Linked DNA regions of Ovis aries. The protein of the gene in region 2 purifies or fractionates together with the protein of the main gene of each other region. This does not show direct contact. Links are inferred from orthologs where the notes say so. Each region holds a gene or a part of one and is shown on either strand. Other genes may lie near its edges.

Region 1 (3,500 bases), on a different chromosome or scaffold from region 2:
GTAAGCAAGGAATTGAAACACAAAATGTCTTATTCTGGGAGAGTGAAGACTCTCTGCCTCCAGAAGAACACTGCTCTCTGGATAGGAACTGGAGGAGGCCATATCTTACTCCTTGATCTTTCAACTCGTCGAATTATACGTATAATTCACAACTTTTGTGATTCTGTTAGAGTCATGATGATTGCACAGTTAGGCAAGTTTACTTCCTTTAAATCTTTTATCATATTCTCTTAAGACTGTAAGAATATGTTTTTTCTTCACTTCCAAACATTGTATGAAGTGTCTCAGAAATTTTGAGTAGGGGCCTTAAAAGCATGAAGTGAGTAGATGTTTTTAGTCCCATAAGAGAAGCAGGTATTGCAAGTGAACACTAAATTTAGGTCTTACTTTCTCTCTTTTCTTTATAATCAAGGCAAAAAATATATGTTAAGCATTTTTAACTTTTTGACAAAGAAATTTAAGCAGATGACTATTTTGATCTTAGTTTAAACTTTCTACCCTTGTTAAGGAATACCATTTAGTTTTTCTTTCTGTAAATAAATTTATATTTTTGTACAGTATATATTGCTACCAGTGTATATTCTTATAGCAATATATACTTCATAATCTATATGCAAATATTGGAAAATCATTATGTTTTATTTACTTTATGTTTTCTGTTGTTCCTACTTTTCTACTCAACTATGAAGAAATCATGATAGCACATGATGCTCACACTTAACTCTTATTTTGACTAGTTATTTGCTTTAGGGAATAGACTTAGTATTTATACAGAGTTGATCACAAAAGTGGGATTAAGTTCTATAAAACTAGAGTTTATGTAACTTTGGGGCTTCCCTGGTGGCTCCACAGTAAAAAAAAAAAAAAAAAAAATCCACCTGTAATGCAGGAGACGTGAATTTGATCTCTGGGTCAGGAAGATTCCCTGGAGGAGACCATGGCAACCTGCTCCAGTTGTTGTTTGGGAGATCCCATGGACAGAGGAGCCTGGTGGGCTACAATCCATGGGGTCACAAAAGAGTTGGACATGATCTAGCTACTAAACAACATCAACGGATGTAATTAGCAAATGAATAATAAAAATGTCGAAACAGGATGAAGACAACAGTAAACTCCTTTTACAGTAACGTATTAAGGAGAGACCAGTGTTTCTCTTCAGTCTCACAAATTTCCCATGAATAGGTGTCAGAGTTGCACGAAAGTTAGAATTACGGGCTCCTCATGATTGACGACTGCCAGGACACTTGTCCATGCAAGCAAAGTAGTAGGCGGATGGGGGGTTGTCTCTCTAGTCTTACTCACCAAGGTTGTTGTAGCCTTTAATTTGTATGTACTTGGTATCCAAATGGTTGTTCATTACTGACATTATAGGGCAATTTCAATGGGTTTAATTGATTTTTTAAATAATTTAAACATAATATACAATATATGGTTTGATCTAGCTTCAACTCAGCTCTCTTGCCCTTGTCTTTTGCCGTATTCTTCTTTGCTCTTTCTGCTCTAGAAGAAAGTTCAGCCTCTCTTAAATACCATGCTTCATCCTACCTCAAAGTTTTGTGTGTGCTGTTTCATTCTGCGTAACTTAGTTACTGTTTAGTAACTAATCTCATCACTAGACCATAAACTCCATTTGTCTCTCTTTAATACATTCCTGTAAAAGGAACTTACACTATCTCTTTCATATATAGCTTTTGTTGGAGGAGTAATATATAACTATTGAGCCCATTTTGCAGCGAGTTTAAGCTGTTTTCTCAGATTCTCACAATAAGAATCATAACAAGAAGGTAGATCAAATTTTCTAACTTTAAAAACATACTGGTCACCTTGCAGAGTATTTTTTGTTCATCACCTTGCAGAGTATTTTTTGTTCAAACTCAGTTGAGGGATCTCTTAAGTAATGGAATTGTAAGTTAATTTCCAAGGTTTTTATGTCTTAAAATATGAACTGTTGTACTCTTTAAAGTCCAACTTATTATATTGTTTTAACAGAACTCTTTTATTTTTTAATAAAGGAAGCCTTAAAAATGTCATGCTGGTTTTGGGGTATAACCGGAAAAGTGCTGAAGGTACACAACACCAAAAAGGTAATGTTTAATAGGATACTGTATTCCAAGCAGACTGAAATGACATGAATGATTATAACATATTATGTTTTTATACATTTAAGGTAAATATTACATATGCATACAACTTTAGGCATTTTTAATTGATAGCTTTGTTATAGTTCAAATAATTTAGATATAAATCTTCAAAATTAAGTTTTAGTGATTTAGCAGTGTAATATATTTTTCAGGTGAAGTAGAGCTAGCAACCACTATTAAATGAGAACTAGCTCAAACCCAACATGGGTATTTTCCCTTAGATCTTACCTACTCCGTATTATCCAAATCATAGTCTGATTTTGAAAAGTGTTTGAAAAGGCTTTTTTTCTTTCAGAAAATGAAGCTTTATGTTACTAAAGGTCCATTGTTAAAATTTAGTAGTTAGTTCTATAATGCATCTTAAACACTTTCCAAATATAATTTCTTATAAATGGTAATAATTTAATGTTACTTTTATATGAATATGTATATAGTGTGTGTGTGTGTGTGTGTGTGTGTGTCTGTGTGTGTATGTAGTCCCAAGTGGCACTAGTGGTAAAGAACTGAGATGCCAGTGCAGGAGAATTAAGAGATCCAGGTTCAATCTCTGGGTCGGCAAGATGCCCTTGAGTAGGGCATGGCAACTTGCTCCAGTATTCTTGCCTGGAAAATTCCATGGACAGAGGAGCCTGGAGGGCTATAGTTCATGGGGCCACAAAGAGTCAGGAACGGCTGACCACACACACACACACACACATACCCCCACACATATATATACACACATACACGTTGGTCCAACAGCTAAATATAAATTAACAAAAGATAAAAATGTTTCATGGCAGATCTTTGTAACATGATTTGTTTTTTAATTTTCTAGAGATACAATCTTGCTTGTCTGTTTGGGACGTCAATCTTCCACATGAAGTGCAAAATTTAGAAAAACATATTGAAGTAAGAAAAGAATTAGCTGAAAAAATGAGAAGAATATCTGTTGAATAAGAGGGATATTGGAAATCTTTATCTTTGGATAGAAAAATGGTTATCTTCTTTTGTAAATATCTTTAAAACATGTTTATATATAAAAATAATAATTTCTACTACTTGCTGTTTGCTAATGTGTATATGAAGGAATGTTTATAGATTTTATTTTGTAAAAATGTACAAAATTGTTACCAGTGAAAATATATTTTAAAGAACTATTTTAAATGTAATATTTCTTATATATCCTAATTAAGTTTATGGATTAAATAATAAAAGGAAATCTAAAAAGTACTTGATTGTAGTACTCATACTAAAATTTACAAAGTGGATAATTTTTTGTTTTGTTACTCATAATGAAGGTTATGTTTATTTTGCATTCTGTGGTAAGACTGGTCTATTGCTGGATTACCATCTAGATATTCTGCGAAGTGGAATAAA
Region 2 (4,192 bases):
CTAAAAGGAAGCTGTCTTTGGAAATGAGGGTGGTGGCTCAGATGCTAAAGGATCTGCCTGCAATGCGGGAGACCCGGGTTCTTTTCCTGGGTCGAGAAGATCCCCTGGAGAAGGAAACGGCAATGCACTCCAGCACTCTTGCCTGGAAAATCCCATGGATGGAGGAGCCTGATAGGCTACAGTCCATGGGGTCACAAAGAGTCGGACACGACTGAATGACTTCACTTTCACTTTCAAGAGAGAATGAAGGTGAAATGAGGTCACCAGGCGGCTCTGGGGCCAGACAGACACACCCAGAGGGAGGAGCTCATGAGGACTCAGGGAGTCCACTCGCCCAGGAGAGAGCCCCGCCCACCCCTGGGTCTCAGCCTCCAGCTGCTGGGGCTGGGAGCCCTCAGCTATCAGCAGCTGAGGTGCCTCCGCCCTCCCCCCAGGACAAGCCCCTGCCCCAGGGAGCAGAAGGCCCGGGCCCTCCCGGTGCCGCCCCCACCGTCGCCTCCGGCAGGGAGCTCACCCTTGGCGGTGTCGTAGATGCCGAAGTAGGCGGCGCGGTAGATGATGATACCCTGCACCGACACGTTGAAGCCCTGGTACAGCCCGCGGATGCCGTCGGACTTGGTGATCTTCACCAGACAGTCTCCCAGGCCCCTGAACTCGCGCTCACTGCCCGACTTGCCCACGTCGGCCGCCAGGCGGGTTCGGGCGAAATCCAGCGGGTAGACGAAGCACAGGGAGGTGGCCCCGGCCGCGCCGCCCGAGGCCAGGTTGCCTGCGAAGTACCTCCAGAACTGCGTGTGCTTGTCCACGCCCCCCAGGAAGATCTGCTTGTACTTGTCCTTGAAAGCGAAGTTGAGGGCTTGCGTGGGGAAGTAGCGGATGACGTTGGCCAGGTTGCCCCGCCAGAAGGACAGCACGCCCTGCTCCTTGGGGATACGCACAATGCAGTCCACGATGCCCTTGTACTGCTTGTCGGCCGCGATCTGCTTGCTCGCGTGCTGCACCTGGGGGGCGGCGGAGGGAGACACAGGGCTCTACCGGGGGCCTGGGCACACCGCCGAGACTTAGAGGAGATTCTGGTGAAGCTCAGACAGCTCTGAGTGACTGCTCCAAGAGGTGAGGGAAAGGTCGGTATGGGTGGGATTCTGGTCAACAGAAGTTCATACGAGCTAGGACATATTTTCGCGGAGCGTTTCTTACAGTCTCAAGGTGCATTCGTCACCGTGAAGGTTTTTAATGCTTTTTCACACACGACAGACAGGGAAGCTTGGCGTGCTGCACCCTGGGGCAGGAGTGAGGGGGAACAGGGCTTCACCCAGGGCCTAGGGCAGACCTCCATGGCCACTTATAAAAAATACACGACCCGAGAGTGGCGAGTTACGATCTGGGGCAAGGCGAGGACTACACCCCCCGGGGGAGAGCAGCTCAGATAGCTGAGAGATTGAGCCAGAGGTGAGACTGGATGAGATTCTGGTCAATGGGAAGTTCCTAGAGCGAGCACACACTCTCGCAGAGCCTTTCTCAGAGCCTCAAGGAGCACTCGTCACAGTAAAAGTTTTTAGTGCTTTTCTAAACGATGAACAGGGAAGCCTGGCGTGCTGCAGCCCATGGGGTCGGCAATGATCGGACACATCTGAGCGACTGAACTGAAACATGAGGTGGGCAAGCAAGAAGTGGGCTCACAATCAGCCACTGGAAACATCTGTCTCATGACCTGGCCTGTCACTTTTTCCCAGAACCCGCATGCCTCATTCCTGCTCTCCACCCTGAGGTCCTTTCACGGGGTCTGAAGGTCAGCAGCACCTGACTCAATACTCATAGAGACGGCTCAGACGGTCAAGAATCACCCTGCAATGCAGGAGACCCGGGTTTCACCCCTGAGTCAGGAAAATCCGCTGAAGGAGGGCATGGCAACCCATTCCAGTATGCTTCCCTGGAGAATCCCATGGACAGAGCAGCCTGGCAGGGCTACAGTCCATGGGGTCGCAAGAGTCGGACACGACTGACACTACTACCGCTTTCAGAGGTAAACAGCAGGTGCCCACAAGCGCCAATTTGCGGTTGACACCTGCAGAGGTCACCAACGACCGACGTGTCGTTAATAAGACATTTACACGGGGCCTTTAAGCTCTCCTAGCATCCTTCCTGGGGAATCCTATTTTCTTTAAGGGTGGCAATCCCATCGCAACGCTAATTCCACTGGCTCCCCATTTGTGACGCTCCAAACAGACCAGCGCAGTTTATTCCACCTCATACCCGCGCAAACAAGTGCGAACAGTGGGCAAGAAGACCAGTACAACTGCGGAGACTAAAGATCTTTCCCCGTCCACGGCCCAAGGGGACGGGACCCCACCCACAGCCTCGCAGGGTCCGTCCACGCGGCTCTCCCCCCGCGCATGCGCACTCCAACTCTGCAGCCCCCCAGTGCGCAGGCGCGGAGGGCGCCGCCGCCGGCCGCCCGACGCGCATGCGGCGCCCCGCGCCCCAATGCGGACATCGCCGCCGGGCGCCCCCCGCGCATGCGCTCCCTCGCGGCGGTGCCCACGTGACGCGACCCCCCGGAAGCCAGCCCGGCCGGCCGCGCGCGGACAAAGCGGCGCGACCTCCCCGCTTCCGGTCCCGGGGCCGCGCGCGCGCCCGAGCTCCCCGGGGCCCGGCGCCGGCGGCCGCGCGCCAGCAGCCTGACACGCACCTGCAGCAGCAGCTTGACGCGCTCGATCGGGGCCACGGCCGTCTTGGAGATGGCGGCGGCGATGCCCCCGGCCAGGAAATCCTTGGCGAAGGAGATGGCCTGTTCCGTCATGGCGGCGGGCGGAGAGCGGAGCGGAGGCGCAGAGAAGCAGAGAGAGAGCCGGAAGGTGAGCGCCGCTGGCTCAGCGCTGCCGCCGCCGGGACCGAAAGGACAGGGCGGCCACCGCGCAGCCGCTAAGGGGCCCGCGCCCCGCCCCGCGGCCCCCGCGCGCCGCGCCCATTGGCTGCGCCGCCGCCCGGGCCCCGCCCCCTGGGCGCGCGCACCGCCCCCGCGCGGCCTGCCGGGAGCGGCGCCTCGTCCCGCCCCGTGGGTCCATACGGCCTTGCCCATTGGCTGCGCCGCCGCCCCGGCCCCGCCCCCTGGGCGCGCGCCGCGCCTCCCGCGGGCTGCCGGGAGCTGCGCCTCGCCCCGCCCCGGGGGCCCCCGTGCGCCGCGCCTATTGGCTGCGCCACCACCCAGGCCCCGCCCCTGGCCCGCGCGTCTCGCCGCGGGGCATGTCGGGAACCGCGCCCCGCCTCTGCGCCGAGCGTGCCCGGGGCGGGTCGCGCTGGGTTGCGTGGCGGCCACTCTGACCTTTTCAAGGTCATGCTTGGCCTGGCGGCGGCGACGAACGACACTGGCGTAGGGGACAGGCCGGGCTTTGCGAAGGCCCGCGCCCTCTCTTCTCCCAATCGTAGCACCGGACGCTCGGGTCCCCAGGCTCGTCCACTCTGGCCGGTCCGATCATTGGGGCCCCGGCTCCGCGCCGCAGACCCCCGAGTCCCGCCCGCGACCCCCACCCCCCCACCCAGCCGCCCCGAAAGGTCCTGATGACCCCCGGCGCCCTCCAGGCCCCTGCTCGCCCCGCGGGACGAGCGATGCAGTCTGTGCGTTCTGACCCAGCGTACGAGACGGCCCCGAACCCCGGCCGGCCCGGCTTCGGAGTAGGGTTTGCCTGTGCGCAGCCCGGGAGACCCGGGTCCGCCCAGGAGAGCGCCTCCGGAGGACCCAGCACCCCCAGCTCTGACCCTGATGACTCTGGGTGCATTTGGGGGTCCCGGGATGGAGGAGGGCCCGCTGCATTTCCAGGACCCACGGGGGCTCAGACTCGGGGTGTCCCTGTCAAGCCGGGCACTGCGACTTGGGTGGCGGGGGTGTCTCCTAGAAGAACAGGGGCACGCGTGTTGGTTTCACAGGCTCACTGACACGCTCACGTGTGTATACGTGTGTCTACAGACATGCACACGTATGCAGCTGTTGCACGTACCCACGCGCCGACAGGTGTGTGCATACGTCACACGCCGCGGTATAGGCCCCCTGCCTCCAAAGGCGTGTCCGGAGACCTTGATGTTTGGAAGGCCTTACGCATGCAGTGTTCGCTCAGTCGTGTCTGATCATTTGTGACTGTGGAAGAAAAAAAAAAAGTGCAACTTGAGAGTTGTGAGTTAAGTTTTATTGGGGGCA

What was found.
Region 1: the proteins of SLC25A6 (region 2) and LRRK2 purify together in Homo sapiens (co-immunoprecipitation; 3 studies listed by IntAct, with this or other methods). This does not show direct contact. The link is inferred for Ovis aries from reciprocal best matches to the Homo sapiens genes SLC25A6 and LRRK2.

Annotation. Positions count from the first base shown.
Region 1 is NC_056056.1:146,809,488-146,812,987, reverse strand, and holds part of LRRK2 (leucine-rich repeat serine/threonine-protein kinase 2), read left to right. Parts: coding exon 1-193; intron 194-2,012; coding exon 2,013-2,084; intron 2,085-2,958; coding exon 2,959-3,080; 3' UTR 3,081-3,500. UniProt on the Homo sapiens protein: Serine/threonine-protein kinase which phosphorylates a broad range of proteins involved in multiple processes such as neuronal plasticity, innate immunity, autophagy, and vesicle trafficking.
Region 2 is NC_056080.1:6,639,203-6,643,394, reverse strand, and holds the start of SLC25A6 (ADP/ATP translocase 3), read right to left. Parts: upstream 2,801-4,192; coding exon 2,690-2,800; intron 1,002-2,689; coding exon 515-1,001; intron 1-514. UniProt on the Homo sapiens protein: ADP:ATP antiporter that mediates import of ADP into the mitochondrial matrix for ATP synthesis, and export of ATP out to fuel the cell.